4 linked regions of the Pelodiscus sinensis genome follow. The protein of the gene in region 3 interacts with the protein of the main gene of each other region in a biochemical or structural test. Links are inferred from orthologs where the notes say so. Each region holds a gene or a part of one and is shown on either strand. Other genes may lie near its edges. The genes, in order: NXF1, NUP88, NUP98 and NUP155.

Region 1 (7,437 bases), on a different chromosome or scaffold from region 3:
ACAGCGGACATGTTCTGGAGAGAGCTCAGAAGCCATGACTTTTCATACTTCTTTCCATAGGGAATCTAGGAAAAAAAGGCACTTGTAAGTGGCATGTAAGCTTGCAGCAAACTATAGGACTGGGAGCAAAGGAGGTCTCTGGGAACAGTCCCATGGGTGCATCAACCAATGGGCAACAGGGTCCATCTCTCCTCTCAGCCAGAGAGCTGCCTGCTGGCCAGATACCTGGCAACCAACTGGACATTGTGCCCCCTTCACAAATTAAGTCAGAGTGTCCATGCAAAGGTGAGGTGGGGTGTCCTGATAGTTATTCTACTCCAGGGGTGGAGAACCTAAGACACAGGGGCTGGATGTGGCACCCAGCTTGCCTGGATCCAGAGCCTATGCTGGCGCTCCAGCCCCCTGCTGCCTCCCCATGAGGCCAAAGTGCACAAATCTACTAGCCTGGGCCCCACAAGGCTCTGGTGTGCGAGGGGAATATGGGAAGTGTCTTTTTCTCCTCCTCAATCAGGGGCCACATCAGTGAGATTTGGTTTTGGGATGGTTGGGTTTTTTTGCTTCTCACTTGTGTGCTGCCCCCGACTGATTTTACTGTGGGTCAGTAGCTCCTGACCCAAAAGAGGTTCCCTGCCCCGGTTCTATTACATTCAATGATGATAATCATTCGGTGCAAGCATATGCTCCCCGCTGTATGCTGCACTGACTCTGCACTATGGATTTAAAATGTGAAGTTTAACTAGTTCATCAATTAAGGTGAGGGGCACTTCAGCCCACACACACACCCAGGCCCTTGCCACGGCCAGAGCTGCCCCATGCCTGCGATGTGCCCAGACCTGCCACAGACAGGGCTCCAGCCCCCACTAGTTAACTAGAACTGGTAAGCATCACCTGTTAATGGTGATGCCTACCAGTTAACCTTTCACATCCCTACTCTGCACAGGTAGCCAGGACAGCAGACTCCAAGAGAGCTCCCAAAGACCACAAAATCCAATAAGGATCAAAGACACCAGGCCAGGTTTATTGTCAAACAAAATACAATAATAATTATCCATAGACTTTATTAAACCACTACACATGTGTACACCCTCACAATGAACTCAGAGTTCAATTAATGGGAGGTCCCACTGCCTCCTAGGCAGGACAGAGACAGCCCCACCAAGACACATCTTTATACACAGGTACAAACAAGTTACCCACCACTACTGATGTATCTGGTTGACACCCGCTGTCATTACCTAGGTACCACCCATTACCTTGCATCTGGTGGCTCGATCAAAAACATCTCTAGCCATCATGCTGTCAATTTAGACCCTTCATTGAACCTGGGTCAGAATGTCCCTGTTATCTGTGGGGAGTGTGTTGGTACCAAGATTTTTAACAAGATGTCCTGTTACTATCCCTCTGAAATGTGCTTCCAGCCTGTGCCTAATATCAATTAGTGTTTTACGGCTTGGACCTGCCTTTTGCTCACAGATTAACTTTGCTTTATTTATATTAGCAAAATCTTGATTATTGTAGGTCAAGCCTCAGGCCTTATAATAGGCCTGTGGCTTATACTTTAGACCCTGATCTTACTGCACCAGGTTAACAGGCTGTGGGGTAGGGATTTGGCCACATTCCCTGCTCCCTCCCTCACCCTCTGGCACTCACTGTGACCTTGTACCACCTCCTCCGGTTACTGTTGCGAATAGCACTGGCACCCCGGTCCTGGGAAGTGGGCTCTTGTTTCACTGTGACATGGATGTTGGTGGCACCTCCCCGGCCCCGGTTGTGCCAATCATCACCTCGCCTGTTCAGCCGTGGCCCATAGGGAGCACTGGGAAGCAGAGGGACACAAGCTGTTAACATTAAAAGGATGGGGAGGATACTTTGAAAGCTAATGAATCCAGAAACACCTGCTTGAACCCTGTGGTCCTCGCTGCATTGGGATGAAATGTCTACAGCAGTCCCCAGACACACAGGCCCCACTTATCCCCAACACAGGAACAACATAGCTTTCCCTAGTACCCAATCAAGGGCTAAAATGCTGCTAATGCCACCTGGAGGGAAAAGCCCCATATCCCATTCCTTCCCTCCCGCCACCAACCAGCTCCCCCCCGCCCTTGGGACCTGACTAAAACTGGCATCCCAACACCCCGAGGCACTCCACCACACACAATGCCAACAGCACTTCTTACTCACTATCTAGTTCGAAGGCTGTCATGGGCGTCACTCATGGGAACATCTCCATCACTCTCCTCCACCTGACCAGAAGGACTATGACCTGCTACACCTCGGTTCCAAGAACGGTGGTTCACTTCACTGTACATCTTGCCTCGGAACGGGCCCCGGCCTTTTCTCCTTCTCCCAGAGAAGCCCCCACCACCCACACGGTCGTCATGTTCTGTTCAGAGGAGCAGAAGGGGCATCAGACACCATCCAGGAACTTTCCTCCTTGAATGCTCAACACATGGCAAACCACCTACAGGAACCCCTGGACCCTCTTGGGCCCTGCATCAGTAGAGATGAGGAAATCCTACTGATCTGCCTATTGCCACCACAGGGCCCCTCCCCCCAGCCCTTCGACTGCACCCATCCCCCCAGAGCCCCTGGGCTGGGAAACGGGGGGGGGACCGGGGAGGCTCCCAGAAATAGGGAAGCCAGATCCCAACAGACTAGCCCCATGCAGCACCCCCCCCGAGACTCCACAGACCCCCCAGAACCCACCCCAGCCTCCTCCCCACCCCGCCCTCAGACCCCCTCCCCGCCGGACCCCATGGCTCCGCCCCCACAGACACCACCCCCACGAGTGTCCACAGGCCTCAGCCACAGCCCTCCCCGACCCGCGTCACCAGCCCCCTCACCGCTGTAGCCCCCTTTCCCTTCCTCTGCCATCGAGGGGGGGCTTCGCGCGCCGCTCCTGGGCGGGGGAGGGGAAGGAAAATCTCCTACTTAGCCGAGCGGGGGGAACCAGGCAACCGATTCCACCGCTCGGCTCCGCTGCCCCAGCGCATGCGTAAACAGCTCCCGGAAGGTGCGCATGCGGTGGGTGGGACAACCGAAGGCATTGCGCATGCGTAGTTCAGCAGCTCATGAGTACAGGGCGTCCGACACTTTCCGTTGAGAAGATACGCGTGCGCCGAGTTACGCCTCCCCTTATTTGCTTCCGAGGAGGCGGAGCTATTACGCATGCTCAGAAAAGCCCGACCTCTCAACGCGGTTGAGAAAGCTGGGCTGCGCATACTAGCCAAGCGCCCCCTTGCATTGCAGGGCGGTAGCTGCTGGAAGGATGGGTTCCCAGGGACGGAGTTCTTCTTAGGCCGCGGGTTCGAATCTGTCCTGCAGCGACCGCCAGGACCCTCCCCCCCCGCAGGGGAATCTGCGTTCAAGTTGCATCTGAACAAAGAATGTGACAGAGCGACCCCTTCTATCTCATTATCTGCCTTTGCTCCTCTTCCTTCCCCCATCCCTAAGGTCCTGGGTTCAAGTTTCACTGGGGATCCTGGTCTACATTTGGTGGTTGCAGCAGCCACCATCTGCCTCAGTCCCCGGGATTAACCCCAGTGCAGGCACCCAGTTTCAGCAGCCAGGAGTGTTATTATTATTCCTTCCCCTCCTTGCACTGCAAGACACACACGCTCCCAGGGGGCCTCAACTGTGGCAGAAGATCCTGCTTGCCCTGTGCTCTTCTTGTGCTGGGGCTGATGTATATCAGAGGGATGCTATTCTAGCAGTCAAATCCAGCTTCAGGGGCAAAGGAGGTGTAGAAAGGTGTGAGGGGTGGCAGAAGCAGCCTATCTCCAGTGCTGTGTGCCAAAATTAAGATACGTGCTCCCAGGATGAGCAAGTACAAAGTCAACCCTTTCTCCACTTGCCATTTCACCCTCAGTCCCTGGAGGCAGGAGATCAAGTAGAAACCACAGGTTTCATTTTAACATTACCCTAAGGTTTCTAGCCCCCATGTTTGGAGAGAAAAGATGAAAATCATTATCAGAGCCCAAAAATGATTTTATAAAATAGAAATCTGGTGATTTTTATGGAAGGAAATTCATGATTTTTTTAAGAACACAAGAGCAGCCATACTGGGTTAGATCAATGGTCCACCTAGCCCAGAATCCTGTCTTCCAACAGTGGCCAATGCCAGGTGCCCCAGACAGAATGAACAGAATAAGTAGTCATCAAGTGATCCCTCCCCTGTCACCCCGCCCTAGCCTCTGACAGAGACTAGGGACACCTTTCCTACCCAGTCTAGCTAATAGCCATTGATGAACCTATTTTCCATGAATTTATCTAGTTCTTTTTTGAACCCGTTAAAGTACTTGTCTTCACAACATCCTCTGGCAAGGCGTTCCAAAGGATGACTCTGTGCTGTGTGAAGAAATGCTTCCTTTTGTTTTAAACCTGCTACCTATTAATTTCAATTGGTGACCCCTAGTTCTTGAGTTATGGGGAAAAGTAGGTAACTTTTCCTTATTTACTTTCTCCACACAAGTCATGATTTTATACACCTCTATTGTATCCCCCTTGCTTAGTCTTCTCTTTTCTAAGATGAAAAGGCCCAGTCTTTTTAATCTCTCTTCATATGGCAGCCATTCCAAACAACTAATAATTTTTGTTGCCCTTTTTTTGAACTTTTTCTAATGTCAAGGTATCTTTTTTAAGATGAGGCTACCACATCTGCACACAGTATTCAAAATGTGGGTGTACAGATGTGGTAGCCTCATGGATTCATAGAATACTAGAACAGGAAGGGACCTTGAGAGGTCATCAAGTACAGTCTCCTGTACTCCCAGAAGGATCAAATATCATCTAGATCAGGGCTACTCAACTTTGGAAGCCCCGGGGGCCACATTGATACTCACAGCACATGCCGAGAGCTGCAACTTAAGTGTGGTTGCATATACATGCAAATAGATATGCAAATAGCTTATTTCACACTGATAGGCATGAATACAAAGATTAAGCCTTAAGCCATGGTGCTGGACCCAAACATGGTCAGTGTGAGCCAGTCTGCACTTCTCAGGCTCTGCCGACAAGGTTAAGCAGCCAGCACTTCCCACAATGCCCCAATGCTCCCAGCACCTCTTCCTGGGGGCTAGAAATGCCAACACCCTGTACCAGTCAGTTCCAGCCAGCCCATCTGCTTGCATGCTTCGATGCTCACCCTGCCTGAGATGCCTCGCCATCGTGGAGCATGTTCCCAGTGGAGGCCATGTTCAAAGCATCCCACTTACGGGTCAATGTTGAGCTCTGCGTAAACCCAAACTACATCGCAGGCCTCAAATGGGGAATGTGCTGCAAGTGGCTCACGTGTTGAGTAGCCCTGATTTAAGAATCATTTCCGATAGATGTCTATCTAACCTGCTCTTGAATGTCTCCAATGATAGAGATTCCATAACCTCCCTAGGCAATTTATTCCAGTGTTTAACCATCCTGAAAGGAAGTTTTTTCTAAGGTACGTCTACACTGCACACTTTGTTTTGAAATAAGCAATAGTTTCGAAATAGCAAGTTTACACTGCAGGGAAGCCTCAAAATGAGTCCAAGGCCGGCTTCCCTAATGTAGACGTGCTATCTCGATTTAGAGCTGCAAGAGGCACTGGGGAAGAATAACCTAGAATGGCCCTGGTGAGGGGCTATTTCAAAATAGCAGCAGTGGAGCATGTAAGCATCTACACATGTCTTATTTCAAAATAGCTATTTCAGAATAGCCATTATTCCTCATAGGATGAGGTTTTCAGATTTCGGAATAAGGTGTCTGTTATTTCAAAATAATGGAATGGCTGTGTAGACACATTGTTATTTCGAAATAACTCTAGTTATCTCGAAATAACGGTGCAGTGTAGATGCACCCCAATGTCCATCCTAAACCTCTCTTGTTGCAATTTAAGCCCATTGCTTCTTGTCCTATCATCAGAGGTCAAGGAGAAAAATGTCTCTCCCTACTCATTACACCCTTGTAGGTACTTGAAAATTGCTAACACAGGGGTGGCCAACTCATTCTGGGCAAAGAGGCAAGATAGCAGTGGATCCAGCACAAAGAACCGGAGCAAAGCTGTCGAGCAAAACAAGACAAAAAAAGTCTAAATAAGGCTCTGCCCCTTTAAGAAACTGCATTTAAATGCATTTTGAGGTTTCTTGGCCACAGCAGGCTCCTGCTGCCTTCCACCATCTTTATTTCTGCAGCTTTCATGGCTGCTCTGGAGAGCTCCCCTGCCCAGCAGGGCCAGCCTGAGCCCTTTTGGTGCCCTGGGCCCAGGCGCACGGCCCCACCCCCCCAAGGTGCGCAGGCCTGCCCCCGGGGCACATGTGCTGCCCAGCCCGGCCCAGCCAGCGTTGCTGGCACGCGTGCTGGGCCGTGCAGGGCCCCGCGGCCGTGGGGGGAAGGGCACTGCTGGCCGGCTCTGCAGGGCCAGTGCTGCGGGAGCCGGGCACGCGGCGCCTGATGGCAGCTGTAAGTGATGCTGCGCGCCCCTTACAGCTGCCATCAGGTGCCCCTCATCAGTTGACGCCCCGGGCAGCTGCCCAGCTCGCCCATGCCTCAGTCCAGCCCTGCTGGATGTGGCTCACAAAACACCCACCCACCCATGACTTGAAAGCCACCCCAAAAAACAGTCCTCTCCTGGCTCCCTGTGCTGACCTGGGCAGCAAGGCCGGACTCAGGTTGGCCTCAGCTGTGCTAACATATCCCCTCTCAATCTTCTCTTTTCCAAACTAAGACCCAGTTCTTTCAGTCTTCCCTCATGACTCATGTTCTCTAGACCTTTAAGCATTTTTGTTGCTCTTCTTTATACACTCTCCAATTTCTCCACATCTTTCTTAAAATGTGGTGCCCTGAATTAGACACAATACTCCAACTGAGGCCTAATCAGTGCAGAGCAGAGCGGTAGATATTATCTGGCTCATTCTCTATCCCTTTTTTAACGATTCCTAACATTGTTTGCTTTTGTGACTGATGCTGCATATTGAGTGATGTTTTCAGAGAATGAGCCACAGTGACTCCAAGATCTCTCTCTCGAGTGGAAATAGCTAATTTAGTTACCATCATTTTGTACATATAATTTGGGATTATTTTTCCAATAGGCATTACCAAGATTAAAATTCATTTGCCATTTTGCCAATTCATTTGGGGGAGGGATAGCTCAGTGGTTTGAGCATTGGCCTGCTAAACCCAGAGTTGTAAATTCAATCCTTGTAGAGGCCATTTAGGGATTTGGGGCAAAAATTTGTCAGGATGGTACTTGGTCCTGCTGTGAAGGCAGGGGACTGGACTTGATGACCTTTCAAGGTCCCTTCCAGTTCTAGGAGATAGGCAATCTCCATTAATTTTTAATTTTTTTTTTGTTGCCCAGTCACAGTTTTGTGAGGTCTTTTTGAATCTCTTCACAATCTGCTTTGGACTTCACTATCTTGAGCAGTTTGGTATCATCTGCACATTTTGTCACCTCACTGTTTACTC
Region 2 (7,707 bases), on a different chromosome or scaffold from region 3:
CTCACATTTCTTTCCCCGCTCTTTGCTGCCTCTGTACTGGAGACAGCAAAGGGTGGGGGGGGGGGGGCAGAAAAAGTCGGTTTCCCCCCAGCACTATCTCCATGGTGCGGTGCTCCTCCCCCCACAGCTGCCTCTAATAACAGAGGCAGCAGCCCGGGGTGAGGCAGGCGGCACCAGGGAGATAGCTGTGGGGAAGCTCCGGCAGCAGCCCGTCTATGTAGGGTCTCAGCTCAGCTGATGCCGGGTCTGGGACCAAGCCCTGCTGCAGCTCTGTAATTTAAAATACAGTAGGAACTGGGCAGCCTGCCCACCTGGCTCTGACCACATTTGAAATGCAGAGGTCCTGCACGCTGTTGGGCTGTCTGTGAGCAGCCCAGGTGGGAGCAAAGACAGTGAAGCATGTGACGCCCCCAATGTTACAGGTCAGATCGTGTGGCCCATCAGACTGACACCCTGCCTAGTAATGGCCTAGCCCCCCCCGCTGCATTGCCCTCCTCAAGTCCCACCCGATCCAGCCGAGCCCTCCCGCCGGGTATCACACTCCCCTGCCCAGAAACTGGTACCAGCCCAATGGACTCTGCACCAGTCTCATGCCCTCCCCCGCAACTGGTACCAACCCGGCCCCCTGGGCTTCTCCCCACACAGACACATCCCCCACTGCCCAGTACCTGATACCAGCCCAGCCCCATGGGCTCCATACAACCTCAGACTCCTCCCCGACCCCCCCCCCCCGGTACCTGGTACCGGCCCAGCCCCGCAGCCCCCCCGCCCCTCAGACCCCCCCCGGTACCTGGTACCGGCCCAGCCCCGCGGCCCCCCCGCCCCTCAGACCCCCCCCGGTACCTGGTACCGGCCCAGCCCCGCGGCCCCCCGCCCCTCAGACCCCCCCCGGTACCTGGTACCGGCCCAGCCCCGCGGCCCCCCGCCCCTCAGACACCCCCCCGGTACCTGGTACCGGCCCAGCCCCGCGGGCCCCCCGCCCCTCAGACCCCCCCCGGGACCTGGTACCGGCCCAGCCCCGCGGGCCCCCCGCCCCTCAGACCCCCCCCCGGTACCTGGTACCGGCCCAGCCCCGCGGGCCCCCCGCCCCTCAGACCCCCCCCGGTACCTGGTACCGGCCCAGCCCCGCGGGCCCCCCGCCCCTCAGACCCCCCCCGGTACCTGGTACCGGCCCAGCCCCGCGGCCCCCCGCCCCTCAGACCCCCCCCCGGTACCTGGTACCGGCCCAGCCCCGCGGCCCCCCGCCCCTCAGACACCCCCCCGGTACCTGGTACCGGCCCAGCCCCGCGGGCCCCCCGCCCCTCAGACCCCCCCCGGTACCTGGTACCGGCCCAGCCCCGCGGGCCCCCCGCCCCTCAGACCCCCCCCCGGTACCTGGTACCGGCCCAGCCCCGCGGGCCCCCCGCCCCTCAGACCCCCCCCGGTACCTGGTACCGGCCCAGCCCCGCGGGCCCCCCGCCCCTCAGACCCCCCCCGGTACCTGGTACCGGCCCAGCCCCGCGGGCCCCCCGCCCCTCAGACCCCCCCCGGTACCTGGTACCGGCCCAGCCCCGCGGCCCCCCGCCCCTCAGACCCCCCCCGGTACCTGGTACCGGCCCAGCCCCGCGGGCCCCCCGCCCCTCAGACCCCCCCCGGTACCTGGTACCGGCCCAGCCCCGCGGCCCCCCCGCCGCTCAGGCCCCCCCCCGGTACCCGGTACCGGCCCAGCCCCGCGGCCCCCCCGCCCCTCAGACCCCCCCCCGGTACCCGGTACCGGCCCAGCCCCGCGGCCCCCCGCCCCTCAGGCCCCCCCGGTACCCGGTACCGGCCCAGCCCCGCGGCCCCCCCGCCCCTCAGACCCCCCCGGTACCCGGTACCGGCCCAGCCCCGCGGCCCCCCCGCCCCTCAGACCCCCCCCCGGTACCCGGTACCGGCCCAGCCCCGCGGCCCCCCCGCCCCTCAGACCCCCCCGGTACCCGGTACCGGCCCAGCCCCGCGGCCCCCCCGCCCCTCAGATCCCCCCGGTACCCGGTACCGGCCCAGCCCCGCGGCCCCCCCGCCCCTCAGACCCCCCCGGTACCCGGTACCGGCCCAGCCCCGCGGCCCCCCCGCCCCTCAGACCCCCCCGGTACCCGGTACCGGCCCAGCCCCGCGGCCCCCCCGCCCCTCAGACCCCCCCGGTACCCGGTACCGGCCCAGCCCCGCGGCCCCCCCGCCCCTCAGACCCCCCCGGTACCTGGTACCGGCCCAGCCCCGCGGCCCCCCGCCCCTCAGACCCCCCCCGGTACCTGGTACCGGCCCAGCCCCGCGGCCCCCCGCCCCTCAGACCCCCCCCGGTACCTGGTACCGGCCCAGCCCCGCGGCCCCCCCGCCCCTCAGACCCCCCCCGGTACCTGGTACCGGCCCAGCCCCGCGGCCCCCCCGCCCCTCAGACCCCCCCGGTACCTGGTACCGGCCCAGCCCCGCGGCCCCCCCCGCCCCTCAGACCCCCCCCGGTACCTGGTACCGGCCCAGCCCCGCGGCCCCCCTGCCGCTCAGGCCCCCCCCCGGTACCTGGTACCGGCCCAGCCCCCCCCCAGTACCTGGTACCGGCCCAGCCCCGCGGCCCCCCCGCCGCTCAGACCCCCCCCCGGTACCTGGTACCGGCCCAGCCCCGCGGCCCCCCGCCTCTCAGACCCCCCCCGGTACCTGGTACCGGCCCAGCCCCGCGGCCCCCCCGCCCCTCAGACCCCCCCCGGTACCTGGTACCGGCCCAGCCCCGCGGCCCCCCCCGCCCCTCAGACCCCCCCGGTACCTGGTACCGGCCCAGCCCCGCGGCCCCCCCGCCTCTCAGACCCCCCCCGGTACCTGGTACCGGCCCAGCCCCGCGGCCCCCCGCCCCTCAGACCCCCCCCGGTACCTGGTACCGGCCCAGCCCCGCGGCCCCCCCCGCCGCTCAGGCCCCGCAGGCTGAGGGTGAAGAAGGCGCCGCGCTCCGCCTCCCACAGGAACAGGTCCGCGCCCAGCCCGAAGAGCAGGCTGCGGGCGGGCCCGGGGTCGGGCCCGGGGGCGCCCCGCTCGCGCAGCCGGCACAGCACGGCGTGGTGCGGCAGCGCCGCCCGCCACTCGCCCGCCGGGTCCTCCGCCGCCATCGCGCCACCCCGGAACAGCGCCGGCCGCCGCCAGCCAATCAGCGCGCCGGGCGCCTCGGAACTACCGCTCCCAGCGCGCCCCGCGCGGGACTACAAGTCCCAGCGCGCCCCACGGCCAGGCTGGCGGCATGGAGGCGCCGGGGCAGCAGCGCCGCGCTCTCTACAAGGGGCCCGCAGCCCCGCCCTGGAAGGAGACCTACCGCCGGGTGAGCGCCGCCCCGTAGAACGCGGGGGAGCCCGGCGTTCGGGCCCTGGATACATTGTAACGATTTCCCCGCCCCGGACTCCTCTAGCCCCCTGGGTAGCAGCGAGCGGGCAAAATGAGGCAGGAGGCACCTGCCTGCGCTCAAGCCTCAAACATCAGGGCTGCCCCACTAACACCGGGTCCCCCTGTCTGCCAGGGCTGGATGCAGTAGAAGGGGGGGGGCTCCACTTGGCATGGCCCCCTGTTTTGCCAGCTACTGCTGGCAGGAGCGAGCCCGGTGGCAGGATTGCTGTGCTCACCGGCTGGGAAGTGGGTGGGGAGACCTGCTAAGCTATTAATGGCATTCCTGTTAAGTACGCTTTGCACCATCTTCCAGCCAGAGAAACAGGGCTTCTATCAAGTGTAGGAATCGAATCCAAGTGGTCTAGCTACCCAGGCCAAAGCTTACACATTATGTCTCCCTAACACCATTTTCAAACAGATATGAGTTGGTCAATGCTTAATTTCAATGGCACCCTGAAAATTATACAGAAGGAAGAGTTGCATGTTAACCTGTGTGTCTTAGTGGCAGTGGGGTGGGAGGGGAGCTATTCTGGTTGGCTGGCTGCCCAAATCTCCTGAAGCTCTGTAGGGTTCCAAAATAAGTTTCCTAGGTTTTTCTAGCCAGTAGGATAACTTTGAGAAATAAATATTGTGAGGCTCTGATTTAATCTCAGTTCTCCTACACCCTTACCACCAACTGCAGATTATTAAAGGGGCGGGGGGAGGGGGAGGGGAGAATATATACAGCTGGCTGATGGTAAAACAAATAATGTCTAGCCAGAAGAAGCCAAAGAATTGCCAGCCAAGTATGTATCTGAACACACGTGAGGGTGAATATAGTAAAATACCATACAAATTTGGTCCCTATATGTTAAAGACTGGGTAGAAAATACAGACCTTTTCCCCCATCTTACCTTCTGCCTGGAGAACTGGGATCCCATCTGCCCAGCCAAATTGAATTGCTCTTGGTCTCCTGTAGTCCTGTCTGCTAATGGTCTAGGAGCCTGACTAGGTCTCTGGTTCCATCCAGCTGGCTGGTGGGGCTTCCCCAAACCATGTTGGTATTACAATCCTATAATTGTTCCGTTTTCTTCAGTTATGTCTGTGAGCTATAAAATCGCAGCATCTGGTTGCCCTGTAGTCCAGCTGAAAGAAAAGACATGATGCTAATGTATCCTGCATCATTTATTTTCTCTTTTCTCAAAGCGCTGTGTGGAGAGACTTAAAAACAGTCGTGCCAAGCTGCTGGATCGATATCGCCAGGCTGGGGAGAATGTGCATTGCAATGCCAGGGGTGCTCTGGTGCAGGAAGTGATGGAGGAGGAGTGGCAGGCTTTGCAGGCGCTGTCTCAGGTCAGTGTGCTGGATTCTTGCACATCATCTCAGATCTGCCCTATACACAGCTTCCCTGCCTACCAATGTTACAAACTGCATCTCCATCCTCAACCATTCAGGAGCTTCAGGGGGTAGCTGAGAGAGTCTGTTACAGAAAAAAACAGCAAGCAAATGGTCTGGTAGGACTTTATAGACTAACAAAACACATAGATGGTATTATGAGCTTTCGTGGGCACAGTCCACTTCTTCAGATGACCGGAGTTAACTGCTTGCTGTTTTTATCCTCAACCATGAGATTCTTGTGACTTTTGGGTGATGGTTTTTGTGCCTGATTTTGAAAGATTAGTGTTATTTGTCTAGTAGTTTCTTGGCATGGGGATAAAATGCTGAGGTTTGACCTTAACAGGGAGAGGGGGCAGAATTTGCTACCTTGTCCATGCACAAACAGCTGTTTCACAGAGGAGGGGAAACTGGTCAAAGGAGTCTGGAAACCTCTGCTTGCTAACTGCAAACAAATGATGCAAATTCAGGAAACTGTCATTGCAAAGTCAGCACAGTCATGTGTTTGATTACACTGGATTGTTTGTGTATTTCAAAACAATACTGTCCTGTTGGTGCTATGAAATAATGCCCCCCGTCCCCCACTTGCCTAATGAGAGGAATACTGATTGATGTACATTTCAGGTGTGGGAGGACCCTGATGAACAAGCAGTACTGGAGGAAATCCAGCAAGAGTTGATTTTGCAAGGTAAATTTTCAAAAAAAAATTACATCTTGACCTGTTAATAGACCTAACCTGAGTCATTTTTAACCTTCCTGAAATCCTTGTCATCCATTTATTTGAAGCCGGACTTTCTTCTTGGCTCAGAAATCTCATGCTTCCAAAAGATTCTTTTTAAAAGTCTATGATCTCAGATGCTTTGGGATCCTGGCAGGTGGCTGGTTGTGATTGGAGATGTAACAAAGCAATGCTACCAAAGAATTGGGAATTAAATCATGGGATGTGGAAAGTGCCAACAAAGGACATGAGTTTTAGCTTCCTTCTGAAGGGTTGGAAGGCCAATTGCTGGATAAGCAAATTTTCAAAAATGCTCCAGTATTTCCATTAAGAATAGAAAATGTGAAGGTTATCTCTGATATGAAATAAGAGTTCCTGAACCCTGATAATATATAAAGTATTTGATTTATGGCTGTCTCACCCTAATTTGACTTTCCCATGAGGAATCATTGACCACATGACAATCCTGATTGCACACACATCCTCTCTTGTATCCTCTGAAATAATCTGAGCATAGGACTGGGATCCAGAAGCTTCAGGCTTAGACACTCTTTGACCTTGGGCAAATCACAATCCATGTTTCCCCATCTATAAGATAGGGAGATGTAAGGTGCGGTTGATTAATGCTTGTAAACTACTTTGAGATCTTTAAATGGAAGATATAATGGGCAGAATTAGGTTAGCATCCTCTTTTCAGTGGGCATCATGAGTAAAAAATTAAGTCAGAATTCCCTAAAGAAAAACAAGTTAGAAATACTGACAAACCCAGTATTTCTCAAATCCAGCTCTCTGAATAGCCATAACAATTTTATCTTGACAAGTGTCTTAAGCCAGTAGCCAGTGACAGCTGGTTTTTGTTTTCTGGGCTTGAACAGAGCAGTTGACCATACAAGAGTATGAACGGAGTCTACAGTTTGACCAGGAGTGCTTCAATGCAATCCTTGACGGCTTGGACACAGGCAGCAAGATTACCTGTCCAGTGTGTAAAAGGTGAGACGGGTTCCTATCACTACATGCTGTATGTTAACTACCTTACCCTCCAGTAGACCTTCTGAATTCAGCCAAGTATGTAATGATGTTCTCAAAGCCTAAACATTTTAATGCATTCATTTCTAGCAACTGTTGATTGGCTGATGAAATCTGGCTTCATTCATTCTTGCTGTAATAAGAGGTTTATGGATCTCTTCACTTAACACTGGTATGCAGCCCGCTGTGGAACTCAATACGCTTTTTAACAGCAATATTCTGTAAGACGAGCAGCTCCCTTATGTTTTGTGCAAAGTGTGATTTGTACACTGCAGCTTTATGCCTCTCTTAAAGCTTGCTATAAGAGATTCTGAAGATAAAAAAATCCATAAGTAGTACAGGGGATTCTGCATTGAGATGATAGCCATCCTCTGTCTGGAGACAGTTTGGCCTCTTCCTTGAGGAAAAAAATCAGACCTCTTTCTCTAGTAAGGGTTTGATTGTAACAACTGTTCAAGAGGCACAAATCCTGTGGGAGATGCTTCTAACATCTAATTTCAGGCCTGATAGAATTCAATGTTCTCTTCTCCTTTAGGGGTGTCTAACTCATGCTTTGTTCTGTTTCTAGGAATCATCTGACTGTGACAAGTCACTTGGTTTTATGCCAGTGTGGATTATACATCAGCACACAGGTAAACTCTACCTGAAGTGTTGTAGTTCCTTAGTTCTGGGCAAAGTTGCCCTTCTTTCAAATGTTGCTGATGTCGGTCATTCATGTTTTCATGCCCCCGTCTTGGTCCTCTTGCACGTGCTTAATGGAAAGGTGGCTCAACAGAGCTGTTTTCAAACTGTGGTTTGTAGAGCCCATCCTAGAAGTATGCTGAATGGAATGGTTGTAAAACTAAGCAGCAGGGGAGTGGGAGCAGATATGGCCCTATGTAATCTCACTCATCTAAGCATCATGTTAAAAAAAACCACACCTGAGAAAACCCCATGTAGGGAAAGCTTGCATCTGAAGTAAATAATCTACCATATGAGCTGTGTAGTCAGAAATGCTAGTTCTGAGAGTTAGGTAAACTTGCTGCAAAACTACTGCTCAGAAAATCCTCTTTAAAAACACAAGATGAGTTTCTTCATCTATTTCTGTCTCAGGGTATGACAGAACAGAAGCTCCGGTCACTTCTAGAAGACAGTGTAACAGAACATGGTCATCAGTGTCTTCACAATCCTGAGTTCTCCATCACTAGTGGAATGGACGGAGAAGCCAATCT
Region 3 (7,502 bases):
TTCCCCCTCCCAGGCAGCGCTCTGTTCCTCCACTGGCCGACTTGGATGGGGCCACGCCACCCATAGTGTGGGCTTCGGCCAGCCCGTCACAACCGCTCACCGGGCCAGTCCGCCCCTGCACTTGCCAGCTGGCAAAATCTACTCACCACGGGCGAGCGCATTTGTCGAGCCCTGCCAATTATCTTTTCTAGTTTGAAAAAACAAAACAAACCTGCAGCTTCCAACCATGTTCCTGAGTCAGTCAACCAATTTCTCTGAATTTAGTTGAAATCAATTACTGTTAGCAGATTTTTGCCTTGTTCCAACTAGGCTAGAGACAAAGGCTAGTAGTACAGATTGGACCTCCCTGGTACAGCTGACCCGTCTCAGACAAGGGTTTTCCAGACCAGTGAAGGGAGAAGGCAGGAGGCACACAAGCTACCTGCCACTGCTGCCCCGGCCCAAGGGGTTCCAGCAGGTGCCCTGAGACCCACTCCCCCTTCCCTAGCCACCTCAAACCGTAGTCTATGGATTCTGCCGAGCCAGAGTGTCCCGGACCACAGGTTCAACCTGTATATCCTTGTTATTTTTCCTCATTATACATTGAAAATAAAGTATGTTTACTTTCTATTGACCTGATAGTTAAGTTTTGCCATAGTTCCCATACACTGACAATCAAAAGTGCTGCATCCGCTTCTATGATTTAACTTCTCTTTCCCCGTATGGCTTACAGGTGACTGCTACCATTGTCAAGAGACCATTGCCATCTGAGGTCTCTTGACACTTGTCTTTCCAATTCTCCCTTGCACCGAATGCAGTAGCTTCCTCTACTACTAAGATACCTTCAGTTTATCTAACCGAAGGGCTTCTCAGCTTCTGCTAACATACAACTACAGGCAGTCCCCAGGTTACGTACAAGATAGGGACTGTAGGTTTGTTCTTAAGTTGAATCTGTATGTAAGTCGGAACTGGCATCCAGATTCAGCCGCTGCTGAAACTGACCTGCGCTGACTACAGGAAGCCCGAGGCAGAGTTGCTCTGCCCCGGGCTTCCTGGAATCAGCCAGCTGATCAGTTTCAACAGGCTGAATCTGGACACCAGTTCTTACATACAGATTCAACTTAAGAACCCCAGGCGTCCCCAAGTCAGCTGCTGCTGAAACTGATCAGCGGCCGATTCCAGGAAGCCCGGGGCAGAGCAACTCTGCCTCGGGCTTCCTGTAGTCAGCGCTGGTCAGTTTCAGCAGCGGCTGACTTGGGGACGCCTGGGGCAGAGCTGTTTGGGTGCTGCTGGGTTGCTCCAGTAGCGCCGCTCCTCGGCGCTACTGGACCAACCCAGCAGCACCCAAGCTGCTCTGCCCCAGGCGTCCTGATTCAGCCGCTGCTGAAACTGACCAGCGCTGACTACAGGAAGCCCGAGGCAGAGGAGACCAGGGAGACAGGCAGCAAACCCCGTTCGTAACTGCGGATCCAATGTAAGTCGGATCCACCTAACTCGGGGACTGCCTGTAATCTATCAATTTTCATTTTTAAACCAGGCTCCCTTCAGCAGGAGTTGGAGATAACCGACTTTCCCCATCCTCCCTTAAAAGTATTCTTGTATCTAAACCTAACTAAATCTTCTCTTAGATGAACATTAATCCACCCTTCCATGTAATTCTTCTTCCTTGTTTAAAAGTTATAGTACCATTCTTAACTAGTGAGCAGCTAAAGAGAAGAAAAAGTTGTATTCCTTCCCTATCTCCCACCGCATCCCATCTGTAGCTTTAATCATAGAATCATAGAATAATAGGACTGGAAGGGACCTCAAGAGGTCATAGAGTCCAGCCCCCCGCCCTCAAGGCAGGATCAAGCTCCGTCTACACCATCCCTGACAGATGTCTATCTAACCTGCTCTTAAATATCTCCAGAGAGGGAGATTCCACCACCTCCCTTGGCAATTTATTCCAATATTTGACCACCCTGACAGTTAGGAATTTTTACTACACAAGTCACTATTGGCTAAGAGTTTATTTTTGTATCTTTTATGACACCAAGCACATTAAATCTTAAATGATTTCCAGGGCCTTGCTGGAAGTTCCCCATCTCACTCGTGCTACAAAATTACAGTAAAACTCCAACAGTCCAGCATCCAATAGTCCGGTACTCCTGATAGTCCGGCATCAAAATGGCAAGAGCCTAATGAATGAGCTTCGGCAAAAAATGAGTTACAAGGTAACAGCAGCAGCAGCTGAACTGAGCAAAAAGGGTAAAAAAAGGCTTAAAAAAAACTAAAACATTACAGTATACAGTCTGTACAATAAAAAGGGTTAAGAACACTTTATATACAGTATATAATGTATACTATGTGTGTGTGTGTGTGTGTGTGTGTATATACACACACACACACACAACCATCTTATAGTACCTCCTGATAGTCCAGCATATCCAATAATCTGGCACCACCTAGGTCCCATAGGTTCTGGATTATCAGAAGTCTACTATACTCTTACCTCTGGAACATCCAAAAACACAATAGCATCTGAAATATGAGGCTAGTCTCCCCAACAGAGCCCAACACAAAGGGATAATTAATAGTCTCCAAACCATCCTGGCTGATTGGGGGGTGGGAAGGGAAGAGAATTCAGAGTTCAGAGAGAGAAGTCCTAGCGCTGCCCTCCCATTGACTATGTCAGCAGACGGTGAAACTCAAGCTGTTTTCACCGGACACACTGCCTGCCACGAGACTATTAATAATACACCACTGCACCATCCACACACCTCACTCTGGGGAGTCGCCCGCCTCGACCCCCCCCCCAAAAGTAACGCCCCCCCCCCCACTTCGGGAGGGTGCCCATCACCAGGCGCATCCCGACCATGGGGCACCCCAAAGACAAACCCCGGGCCGCCCTAAGGGGGTCACCGCCAAGCCCGCCGCGCTCTGGGGGGGGAGGAGAGGAGACAGCCCTGCCACCATCCCTCCCCCACGCGCCTATCCTGTGCCCCCAGGGAGCCCCCCCCGGGCTCAGCAGCGCGCGCGCGCACTCGGGCACGCAGCAACCTGGGCAGCCCCCACGCGCCAGGCCGGAGCGCGCGGGGAGGCCTCGCGCCCCCCTGGAGACCAGCCCCGGGCGGGAGGAAGCGAGGCGCGCGGCCTGCGCGGCGGCCTGGGGCGAGCCGCGAGCGGCAGAAAAGCGCCGGGCTCCGCTGGAGAGGCCGCGCGGCCCCGCCCGCGCCTTACCGAGGACCCGGGCCCCGCGACGGGAGCGACTCGACCGCGCCGACAGCAAACGGCACCGCCACGACGCCCACCCGTCCGCCGTCGCCTCACAGGAGGGGAAACTGCGTCACACTCCGCTCGCGCTCCCACCTCCCGCCGCCGCGCCCCGCCTCCCCGCGCGCCCTATTGGCCCGCGTAGCCCGCCGTTCCGTCCGCCTATTGGCTGCCGCCGTTTGAAACCGAGGCAGGTCCCGCCTCCGCCTGGCTGCCTCCGCTGATTGGCGAAGGGGACGTTTCGAACGTCACGAGCGACACGAGTTCTCATTGGTCAACATGAGAGCGGTTGGCCCAGACTCCGTCCTCTTCCAGCGGCGCTCTTCCCCACATCCGGGTCATTGAGTCACCTCTCTAAAGGGCGGGGAAAGAGGAGGGGCTTAATCCTGCGCCCGCCAATCACACGGCAGCACCACGTTACCATGGCAACCGGGGCTGGGCCTGTGTTTTCTTGGGGAAAAGACATGGGCCACGTGGTCCGGGTGCCTTCCAAAGTAACCAGCCAGCAGCTCCCCTTGTGTGTCCCTGTCCCTGGCCTGCCCCACAGTGGGCACTGCCCCAGCCCTGCTACCAGACTCTCCCTTAGGAGTCATAGGCCCCAGGGCAGTACTATTACACTGGTGCCCCTCTGCAGCGGGGATGATGATTTTTGTAGAGATGTGATTTTATAATCTCCAGCAACTCTCTCGTGAAATACTTTTAAAACAGATTTTAAACTAAGCTCCTGCAGACTAACACAACTGGTTCGATGTCTTCATTACCACTTGGATAGGCTCCGTGTTGTGCTAATCGCTCTGGCAGGCTTTTTCACTTTTAAGTCAACTAGATCCTCTCCTGAGAAAGCAGAGCCACAGAACAAGGATGGGAAGAGACAAGTGGGTGAACATTAAGACTAAGTGGTGCCCCAAATTTTCAGGTGCCCTTCACGGCCGCGTATTCTGCATATGGATAAGGAGAACCCCTCCTACTGCTTCCCACTCAGCCAAACCCACACCCTAGCCTCTGGCCTTCATTACCTTCCCCATTGCAACCTCAGCCTGTGCTGCCTTCCCATAGCCTCAGCACACTACCACATCTAGTCACTGACTTGTGCTGCCTTTCCAAGGAAGCCCTGTAATGCAATGCCCCTGCCAGAGCTATTTTTGCAAAAACAAATAAGCCTCAACCGCAAAAGTGGCTAAACAGGTTTGATTTCAATGGGGCTACACCTGGTAAAGTTAACTGTGCATAAAAGCTTGCAGGAGGGAGTTCTTTATATTCTCAGCTTCTTGGAACAGGGGCCCCACCTGCTTTTCACTGTGTGCTGAGCAAAATAATGGTGTTTGTGAACTAATGCAAGTGTTGTGATAGTCATATTGATCCCAAGATATTAGAAGGCAAGGTCAGACCAGCTTGGTCCAATAAAAGATACTACCTCACTAACGTCCCCTCTAATCTTTTCCATCCATGGGTAGATTTTTCCCATCTGTATGTGGAATAAATGTTATGTGCACTGAGGCATGTGCATATGTGCACCACCAGATTTTATACTGTTTTCTTTGGTATTACTAATCTTATTTCAGAGCTGGGGACACTGAGACATGGTGCAGAGAAGTTACCTACTCAAGGTCTCACATAGTGAGTCAGTGGCACAGCCTGGGAACACCCAGTCCCAACCCCCAATCTTTTGTTTGAAATATATAGTAATCTGCATGGAACTTGGAAGGAGGATTGTGGTTTGCAAGAGGGAAGAATTCACCCTCACATGGGGACGGGAGGGGAAAGATATACTTAACTAGGGTCTGGAGGCCAAGAGGGGCCTAGCTCAGGCTACAAATTGTGGTATTTGTGTGGGAGAGGGCCCATGTTACAAGTTTGTACTGGGCCCCCCAAAAATATGCTGGGGTCCTGATTCAATCTTTGTACATGGCTGGAAATGTTGGTAACATCAGAGCCTCCGTAAGCAGGTCTATTAATTAAGGACTGTTTGAGACCTGAGTAACAATGGTTAAGACCTTGCTAATATCAAGCAAAGCGAAGTTGTGAGCAAGAGGCAGGCTCCTGCTCACAGAACTTGGCAACAACAAGGCCAAGAGTGTAAAAAACTAATTAGTAATAAGCACAGGTGTAGAACAGTAATTGGCACTAGTTACAAGATGTAAAACAGTAATTGGTACTAGACATAAGTTGAAAGCACATTCAGGAAGGATGGTAACAACACCTCCTTAAAAAGGATCTTCGTACCCACACACTCCCGACAGATACCAACTCAGGTTCAGGAAATGGGCTAAAATGACAGCATAACGGATAGAGATATTCTAATTGAACCATGAGGTGCAGGGTGATGCATGTGTAACTCTTCTGCCAGGTAGGCCCGGCAACAACCGGGGCTGGGTTCAATATCTAGGGGTCCATCTCACACAGAACCGGCTCGAGCCCCCACTCAGTAACCTGGGAAATTCACACACCCCTGGGCACCTCTGAGAGACAATGCTTCCCCACTCGCAAGCATAGAGTCTGAGTGTAGGAAAGAAACATTTAATGAAAGAGAGAGAGAAGTCATACGGCATTAACTTGGAAAAATACCACAAACAGAGTTCACAGCCCAAACGTGAGCTAAGCCCCACTCCAGCCAAGAATCACCCGAAGTCCCAAAGTCCGACACCCCAAAAGTCTCTGTCCCTGCTCAGTGCCACGTAGAGTCCAAAAGGTCACCTGCAGGGTTTTACCTCCCAACCTGGGTGGAAATGGGGGCAAGGAGATAGATAGTGGCATCTTACATGGTCCGAAGCTAACGGCCCCACCTCTCCGTAGGGTTCTGCTGCAGTCTTTAACGCGAGCCGCTCCACCAGCTGTCTCGTTCCACTCCACCGGACGCTCCGCTGGTCGCCTGCCGCTGTTCCTACCGGCCGCCTGCCAGTCGTTTCCACCAGCCACTCCACTGGCCGCTTCAGGTCCTACTAGCCGCCCACTGCTTCACTGGCTGCAATGGGTCTGGCTCCCAGCCAAACCAGTGATTTCAGCTCTTAGTGATTTCAACTCTTTAGCCACCACCTCGACTGGCAAAGGATTCCAGCTTCCATTGGATTAGCAAAAAGAGTCGTCATGGAGTCTGCTTTAGGTCTGTCCTTAAAACGAAGGGCTGTGTCTACACTGGCGCGTACTTGCGTGAAAATGGCCTCTCTTGCACAAAAATATGCCACCTGTCTACACTGGCCACATGTTCTTGCGCAAGTAAACTGACATTGTACTGTAGAAAATCAGGGCTTCTTGCGCGAGAACTCTGACGCTCCCTCTCAGGAAGAAGCCCTCTTGCGCAAGAGCTCTTCCAGAAGAGGCCAGTGTAGACAGGCCACATGAATTCCTTGCGCAAGAAAGCCCTATGGTTAAAATGGCCATCAGATCTTTCTTGCGCAAGAGAGCGTCTACACTGCCATGGATGCTCTTGCGCAAAAGCTCTCTTGTGCAAGAGTTTTTGCACAAGAACTCTTCCGCAAAAGAGTTCTTGCGCAAGAAGCTGCCAGGCTATGTCTACACGGGCAGCTTCTTGCGCAAGAACTCTTTTGCGGAAGAGTTCTTGTGCAAAAACTCTTCCAGAAGAGAGGGTCTACACTGGCATGTGCTTTTGCGCAAGAGATGTGCTTTTGCCCAAGAGCATCCATGCCAGTGTAGACGCTCTCTTGCCAAGAAAGCTCTGATGGCCATTTTAACCACAGGGCTTTCTTGCGCAAGAAATTCATGTTGCCTATCTACACTGGCCTCTTGCGCAAGAACAATTGCGCAAAAGGGCTTATTCCTGAGCAGGAGCATCATAGTTCTTGCGCAAGAAGCACTGATTTCATACATTAGAATGTCAGTGTTCTTGCGCAAGAACATGCGGCTAGTGTAGACAGGCAGCATGTTTTGGCGCGAAAGCGGCTGCTTTTGTGCAAGATTGCACCAGTGTAGACACAGCCTTCTAAAAGAGCTATTGCACAAAAGGGCTTCTTCCTGAGCGGGAGCATCAGAGATCTGGCATAAAAAGCACTAATTTTATACTTTTGGGCTACGTCTACACTGGCATGATTTTGCACAAATACTTTTAACGCAAAAGTTTTTGCGTTAAAGTATTAGTGTGATGGCGCGTCGGGGTTTTCCCGTCTCCTGCACCCCCGTAATGGCACAGACAGACTCCACCAGCCAGTAGAATAGAGAGAGTTTATTGCTTCTCCAGGATACAGCACAGCACATATGTAATCTGGTTACAGGGCAGACCTAGGATGCCTCAGCCCCCCCTTGAGATGGGGGAGCCT
Region 4 (7,749 bases), on a different chromosome or scaffold from region 3:
CAGAGAAGCCCATCGTGGATGCGAGCTCCGGATCAAGTCCTGTCACCAATTCCACATCTATAAGGGAATAGAGTGATTAGCATCAGCTATGTTTAGCACCCACCGTTCTGGCACCTCTCCCATAGCAGTCACTCCTTGGCATCTGCTCCTAGCTACTCCTTGTTGCAGGATTGAAGATGCACTAGGAATCAAAACAGGAGCCACTGCCACCAGCAGCACATGAAGAGGAGATCTGCCAGGAGTTGATTGGCCCAGCTACCATACACAGAGGCTACGTCTACACTGGCCCCTTTTTCGGAAGGGGCATGCTAATTTTGAAAGTGGGAATAGGGAAATCCGCGGGGGATTTAAATATCCCTCACGGATTTAAATAAACATGTCCGCCGCTTTTTTTCTGGCTTGGGGAAAAGCCGGAAAAAAAGCGTCGAGACTGGCCCGATCCTCCGGAATAAAGCCCTATTCCGGAGGATCTCTTATTCCTACTTCCTCCTTTGAAAAAGGGGCCAGTGTAGACGTAGCCAGAGACTTCCAAAAGCACCAAAGGACTCTCACAGCAGTCCCTGTGAGTTGTGCACTTGTGTAACTGCTCAGGCAAGATTTAAATGATGCCCAACTGATTAGCAGTGTCCACAGCTAGGTTAGCTAGGTTCATGTTTCTCCTAGTGGTGCACATAAATGCATTCTGCTCATGGATGGAAAAAAAAATCTGCACATGAATTGAAAAGATTAGCAGGAACATTGCTCTCCTAAGCCTTAGCCCTTGAGAAGCAGCTCTACTGAAGAAACAGCTGCACACAATGTCACAGCCACAGAGACAGTGCTCGATGGACTACAATCTCTGCCTTTGCGATAGCACCCAAGCAGGCTGCTGTTTACCCAGCCAAACTCATTACCCCCTCCATGTCCCCAAGTTATCCTTTATAATACCCCTTCCCCAATATAACTCCTGCATTTACAAGTCCTTGGCATCATCCTCCCTAATCAGGTTCTGAAGCTGGGCTAGCTGAAGAGAACTCAATCTAAATGTTTCCAGCTAACAAAGGTACAAATATAGGTTCAAGATTTGGGAAACTTGCACTCTAACAGATACTACAATGATTCTCTGAGGCACCAGCTAGCTCAGACAAATTCTTCCATCCTCTTAGCTGTGAATAAACTGGGGAGTGGGTCATCAAAACTACATAGTACCGGGCATCAAATTTTTCACAGTCCTGAGAGATGTAACTAGGTCTACCTGAGCAGACCAGGTCTGTGTTCAAAGGGACTGGGTTATAAAGTGTATGGTCTAAGATTTCCAATAGAGTTTAAGGGAGACAGATGCCAAGTATAGGAGATGTAGTGAAAGCCCAAAAATTTCAGTGGGCAGGACATGTTAGGAAGACTGACAAACTGAGCATCTCTTGGAAGACATCCTTACAGTTTCCAACACTGTGACTGGTCAAGGAGAAGATGGAGGGAATTAACATTGTACAAGACCTAACAGCCCTTAATGTACCAATGTGTTGACAGAAAGAGGGAGAAATGTGTTGACAGAAAGAGGTGAGTTGAAGCCCTCACTTTAACTCCAAACTTCTGACCCAGCCCTGAGCCCCTCATCCTCAGCCCTACCCTAGTGTACACCCCAGTGCATTCCAACTCTCTGAACTCTCCCACGGGCTTAACTTCTCCGCCCACCTCTCTCCTCCACAGTTGTGTTACATGCACCAGTAAGAAGGAGATGTGTCAGATATCACCACCATACTGGTGCACAATACAAAATTCATTCTGCATGTGTAGGAAAAATTAGAGGGTCATCATCTAATGTTTAGAGTCATCATCCCACATTAAACAGTTTTAGGAGTTGGTACACAAAGAACTTAGCCTGATTAGTACAATAGCAAATATTAAAAATTTTAACCTTTCATTTAGATACTGGAAAAAGAGAAACAGCTAAAATATTTGAAATATCAAGTACAGTATTAAGACTTTCATTTTAAGTACAATTTAGAATGTTCATATCCTCCTTCCCCTCCACCCCCCCATAATTTTTTAACTGTGATTTTTTTAAAAAGACCTCAAAAACTTATCACTTTTTAAAGTTTTGCTTATAATTAAGATTAATTTCTAGACCCAATTATTACGATAGCACTAGGAATGTTAAATATCAGTTAACTGAATAGACAAGTAACAGCATGAATTCTTATTGGTTACTCGACTATTCTATAGTCTGCAGGGGCAGGGCCAGGAGCCAGTGCTCTCCAGCCCCACTCCTAAGGGACACCCTGCTAACCCATGCTGCTGCCTCTGTATCAGAAGCAACAGTGCAGGGTGCCAGGTGGGAGCTGGTCCATGAGGGGAGCCAGTTTAAAAGTCATCTCCTCTCGTAGAACGGCTGCCTGTTTCCCCATGCTTCTACCTATGATACAGAGCCAGCAGCGCAAAATGGCAGCAGATCCTGTCCAGGCGGGGTGGAGCTGAGCTACTGGACCCAGGATGAGCCGGAACTGAGCCAAGCTGCCTGCTCACCTAGCTCCTAATACACTTTAAAGGCAGAGCCACAGCAAGGGGTAGGTCCTGGACAGTCACAAGCCAGGACTGATCCAGGCTGCTAGCCACCCTTCTAAAAATGTACTGGCATGGGAGGTGGGGAATGAAAGTAGTCTCTATAGCATTAACCAATAAGCTTTTGCTTATCGGTTAATCAATTACAGTATTACATCCCTAGACAGCACTTAGCTCTCAAAGTTAGAATTTTTCAAAGCTTACTTATGTCTTAATTAATGTATTATAATTCCTTTGATAAGAGTCCCACAGTTTCATAGCCCTGTGTTAACTTTTTCCCATTTATCATCTTCTAGTTAAGGGAAGAATAGTCTTGGAATAAAGGCATTAACTTGTGATTCAGGAAATGTAAAATCAGTTCCCAGCTCTGCCACAGACGTCATGCATGACTTAGGGCCCCACCAGATGTATGGTCCAGTTGGTCAATTTCATAGGTTTTTAAAAAGCAGTAAACTATTATTTCAACTATTTAAACCTGAACTTTCACAATTGTGTAATTTTAGGGAATCTGACTCAAAGGAATCGTGTGGGGGAAGAAGAGACAGGTCCGCTAGGTTATTATGAGGCAGGGGGGAGGGGAAGAGGAAGGAGAACAACAACACTGCTACCCATACTTCTGCTGCGCTGCCTTCAGAACTTGTCAGCTGTAGAACGGTGGCTGCAGGCCAAGCGCCCCATTGGAGAGATAAGGATGGCATGGTAAAATACTACCATCCTTTCTGCACTGCTGCTTGACACCCACCTCTGAAGATGGGATTACAGAATTAAAAGTAGTATGGCATAGTAGTGCCACCTTTACTCATGGGCTGCTGCTCACAGCTGCTGCTCTCCAGCAGCCCAGATCTGAAAGCCATGCAGAAATAAGAGTCTCAAAACTCTAAACTCACCCCCCCCCCACACATTGTGAACTCTTACAGCAGTGTTTCTTAAACTATGTTCCGCAAAACACTGGTGTTCCGTGAACAACTCACAGGTGTGCTGCAAATTCTTCTTTGTTTTTGTCTTCTTCTGTCTGACAACAATTTTTTTTGAAGAAAATGTTCATAGGTGTTCCGCATTAAAAAAATATATATATTATTGTTCAGCGTTCTGTGGTCTCAAAAAGTTTAAGGAACACTGCCTTACAACAACTCCTTTTTGTGCGAGGGCCACCAAGTTGAGGAACACTGGTCTCTCCTATGAAAAACATGTAATATGTAGGAGAAGAGAGGGAAGATGGGAACACACAGAAGAACAGATTTCACAGCGCAGGATGAATTTGTCATGGCCGTGAACTTCGTAGGGGCCTATGGACAAGTTTATTAATTTCTCAGTGCCTTAGTTTGCTCACAAACACCACAAGGGATGAGAGTCCCTTGCTCATCTCTTAGCACGAGTACTGAAAAGTAGGCTAAAGAAAACGTCTTGTTGTGTGTATGCAGAGTGCCTGGCACCACAGGGTTCCAATCTCCTAGCACGAGCGATAGAAATAACAGCCATGTGGCCGCACCTTAAAGCCTCCAAGCCGCGTACTTCAGCAGGTACGAACAATACACTGCGGACTCCTGTCACAGACTCCTGACACCTCTCCCGGTTGAGCACAGCTCAGCCTTCCGGCTGAGAGCCGGGGCACATCTGCGGGAGAGCCACGGGGCGGAGGAAGGCCCAGTGACGCCGCGGGGGAGCCCGTCGCGGGGTCTAAGCGCAGGTGGGCATCGGGGGACAACGCGACCCAAGAGGATGAGAGTTCCCGAGCCCTGCTCCCCCCGCCCTGGGCTCTCGGGGCGTCCTCCTCCGCCTTCCCCACTCACAGGACGCCTCGGCCGCCCCACCGGCCTCCTCTGCTTCCATCGCCGGATCTTCGACTGCCCACTCGGCTCCGCGGCCACCAATTTAAACTTAACCCTTGCCTGCGGGGCGCCCCCCCCCACCGGAAGTGAGTGTCCGTGAGGCGGAAGTGCGTCAGACGCTCCGCCGCGCTGGCTGTTGGGGTTTGGCGCGGTCCTGTCCCTGTCTCAGGCCGCTACTCGCGATGCCCGTGGCCATGAGCCCGGCCACCCCGGCCTTGCAGGAGGCGCTGGAGAACGCGGGCCGCATCATCGACCGTCAGATCCAGGATGATCGCTGCTACCCCGACCTGTCCGAGCTGCTGGCGGTGCCGGCGCCCGGTGAGGAGCCCTGCGGGCCCGCTCGCCGCTCTGGTCCCCAGCCCAGCGCTTCCCCCTCCCCTCCACGGACGGGTCGGCGCCCCCGGCTCATCCCCCTCGGGACTCGGTGTCCGCGCGCTACCCCTAGGCCTTTTCGTGGCGGGGGGGGGGCATCTGCTTGGGGGCAGCCGTGCCAGAGCGCCAGCGCCCTCCCCCTGTGCGCGCCTCTGCTGCCTTCTTCCTGGCACTAGCGCCCCACGGGCAGACACCTCCTAGCCAGACCGGCAGCGCGTGGAGCACTGGCAACTCCAGGGTCCCCAGCCCCTGTGAGGAGTCGTTCAGATTATGGTTGTGGAAATGCTTTGCCTGGGCTCGCTCATTGCGTGGTGTCTGAGCCAGAGCCTGAACAGCATATGCCTTGCACCTTTATAGCCCTGTAGCTATAGCCCAAGCACTATGAGCCGATGTCAGTTGACGTAGGGTGTTCTGTTGCATTGTAGATATATCCTATGAGCTTCTTTATTGTCCACAGGTGATTAAGGATAGCACTGACACTAAGAAATTGCCAAATAATTCCTGAACGGTTGCCTTAAAGTTACCTTGTTGATTGCCCATATATTCTCCATGTATGTTGAGAATTTGCCTCCTTTTGTGTTTCAGTTCAGTTACCTTTGATGAGTTATATTTCTGCCTTGTCAGGAGGTCAGTATATTAATTAAGTTAAAACACTCTCGCTACGTCTACACTGGCATGATTTTCCAGAAATGCTTTTAATGGAAAAGTTTTCCGTTAAAAGCATTTTCGGAAAAGAGCATCTAGATTGGCATGGACACTTTTCCGCAAAAGCACTTTTTGCGGAAAAGGGTCCGCGCCAATCTAGACACGGTTTTGCACAAAAAAGCCCCGATCGCTATTTTAGCCATCGGGGCTTTTTTGCGCAAAACAGTACTGTGCTGTCTACACTGGCCCTCTTGCGCAAATGATTTGCGCAAGAAGGCTTTTGCCCGAACGGGAGCAGCACAGTATTTCCGCAAGAACACTGACGATCTTACATGAGATCGCCAGTGATCTTGCGGAAATTCAAGCGGCCAGTGTAGACAGTTGACAAGTTTTTCCGCAAAAGCAGATGATTTTGCGGAAAAACTTGCCAGTCTTGACACAGCCCTATCAATACTTTTAAATGATCCTATAGTAAGTAATGGCACTGGGATTGATTCCAGTAAAAAAAGGAGTAAATGCCTCCAAAGAGGGTAATCAAATAAAAAAGGCCATGATCTTTCCACTTTTTGTGCATAGGCAGATGATACACATCTTTTTTACTCTTTAAGAACACACTTTTTGAAAACTTGTTTCACTAACATAGAGCATAAACTAATGTACAACAATTTTAAAATGAAAACATGTCAGAAGTTAGTGAACTGTCAAATAGGTAACCAAAGGAAAAGCAAGACCATGTTTACGAAGCTTAATAGAGAATCATTTTTCTTGGCCTGATAAGATTCTTCTCACAAAAGAGACTCTTGTTGACTTCAGCCTAACTTCCTTTTGTTGCCAGGAAAAACAATATTTCAAATGTAAACTTGAGTATTTATAATAAATAGAGGGGACTGTATTTCACTTGTATTATACCACTGTAGTATGTGAACAGTTATTGAGAGCCTTTAGGATGGAAGGTGCTATAAGCATATTTATTAGATTTTTAAAGCCAATCCACCAATTTTAGGAGTACAGTGAATGTTGTATTTGTTTTATTTATATAAAGTTTATATTCGAGATAAGGCTTTAAAGACTTGCTTTTAAAATTGTGAAAAGTCACTCATTTAAAAATGCTTTATACATATTTTGAATGAGCTGTTGTACTCTTAGTGCTGTGGTTTGAGAACTTTATAGTTTGTCCATTTATCTGAAATAATCCACCAAAATTAAGAGGAATTTATACTAGTCTAATTTAGATTTAATAAATATGAATGCTTGCTAATTCAGATATTGGGGCAGGGGAAATCTATTATCATGTACGTGTTATTTTTTGGCTGATATCTTGTTTTACATATGACATTTTAAAGTGTATTTCCTTTTTTTAATTGCAGGTAGTCCCACAGTTTCTGGTATGTCAGATATGGATTATCCTTTGCAAGGACCTGGTTTGCTCTCAATACCCAATCTTCCAGAGATAAGTTCAATCCGCAGAGTCCCACTTCCTCCTGAGCTAGTGGAGCAATTTGGACGTATCCTAATAAAAACCACATATTTCTTTGTGTGTATAATAATGTTATAAATGAATGTTTGTTATTTCATAATATTTTGACCAAGATTCTTCAAGTACCTTTCCCTGGATGTATTCTTATCCGTCATTGGAGTCCATAGGACTCTTAAGAGGTAAAGTTATTTCAGCAATCAGCAACTACGTGTAATTTTGATACTCAATGCCAGTTGGGTATTATTATCATAATGATCTTAATACATTTAAAGGGGTCTTCATAAGTTACTGGTAAAATTTAAATGTTTTTAACATCAAGTGGAATAACGAAGTGTTTTTAGGGTTGTCAAACAATTTAAAAAAACATGTCAGATTTAAAAATAGTTGTGATTAATTGCAGTGTTAAAAATAGAATACCAGTCATTAAAATATTTTTGGATGTTGCCTACTTCTGTGCCATGCATGTCACATGATGCTTACCCGGCAGCTAAATTCTGGCTCCATGCTGTCACATGAGGTCTACATCTTGCCAAAGCCCAGGGCCATTCCGCAGCCCACTGGATACTTCTGGCTCACCTGGGGCACCGTATCAGATTTTGGTTTGTGTGAGATTGTGTGTTGTGAGTGTATTAGCGTGATGTGCAACAGTCTCAGCACACTAAAGGCACATCTACATAGCAGGGCTACACTCGAAATAAGCTACGCAACTTGAGCAACGCTAATTGCATAGTTTAAGTCGCAATAGCTTATTTTGACTTTTGGCACTGTCAACACAGCTGTTATTTCAAAATAGAGCACTCTTCCCCTGACTTCCCTTACTCCTGATACATTGAGTTTTACAGAAGTTGGAGTAAGAAGCCCATTATTTTGCATTTATTTCAAAAT

The links.
Region 1: the proteins of NUP98 (region 3) and NXF1 form a complex in vitro, tested with the Homo sapiens proteins (5 studies listed by BioGRID and IntAct). The link is inferred for Pelodiscus sinensis from reciprocal best matches to the Homo sapiens genes NUP98 and NXF1.
Region 2: the proteins of NUP98 (region 3) and NUP88 form a complex in vitro, tested with the Homo sapiens proteins (2 studies listed by BioGRID). The link is inferred for Pelodiscus sinensis from reciprocal best matches to the Homo sapiens genes NUP98 and NUP88.
Region 4: the proteins of NUP98 (region 3) and NUP155 form a complex in vitro, tested with the Homo sapiens proteins (2 studies listed by BioGRID). The link is inferred for Pelodiscus sinensis from reciprocal best matches to the Homo sapiens genes NUP98 and NUP155.

What each region holds. Positions count from the first base shown.
Region 1 is NC_134721.1:36,439,898-36,447,334, forward strand, and holds the start of NXF1 (nuclear RNA export factor 1), read right to left. Parts: upstream 3,019-7,437; 5' UTR 2,875-3,018; coding exon 2,844-2,874; intron 2,384-2,843; coding exon 2,182-2,383; intron 1,817-2,181; coding exon 1,651-1,816; intron 66-1,650; coding exon 1-65.
Region 2 is NC_134731.1:25,946,776-25,954,482, reverse strand, and holds the start of NUP88 (nuclear pore complex protein Nup88), read right to left. Parts: upstream 3,148-7,707; 5' UTR 3,111-3,147; coding exon 2,912-3,110; intron 2,806-2,911; coding exon 2,774-2,805; intron 560-2,773; exon of another isoform or gene 1-559. Other genes in the region: RPAIN (RPA-interacting protein), read left to right, coding at 3,239-3,316, 4,564-4,710, 5,377-5,440, 6,346-6,460, 7,065-7,128, 7,589-7,707. UniProt on the Homo sapiens protein: Component of nuclear pore complex.
Region 3 is NC_134711.1:325,796,261-325,803,762, forward strand, and holds the start of NUP98 (nuclear pore complex protein Nup98-Nup96), read right to left. Parts: upstream 3,356-7,502; 5' UTR 3,199-3,355; intron 1-3,198. UniProt on the Homo sapiens protein: Plays a role in the nuclear pore complex (NPC) assembly and/or maintenance. NUP98 and NUP96 are involved in the bidirectional transport across the NPC. May anchor NUP153 and TPR to the NPC.
Region 4 is NC_134716.1:105,219,758-105,227,506, forward strand, and holds the start of NUP155 (nuclear pore complex protein Nup155), read left to right. Parts: upstream 1-4,478; 5' UTR 4,479-4,552; coding exon 4,553-4,688; intron 4,689-5,349; exon of another isoform or gene 5,350-5,369; intron 5,370-6,754; coding exon 6,755-6,892; intron 6,893-7,749. Other genes in the region: WDR70 (WD repeat-containing protein 70), read right to left, coding at 1-57, 4,332-4,371.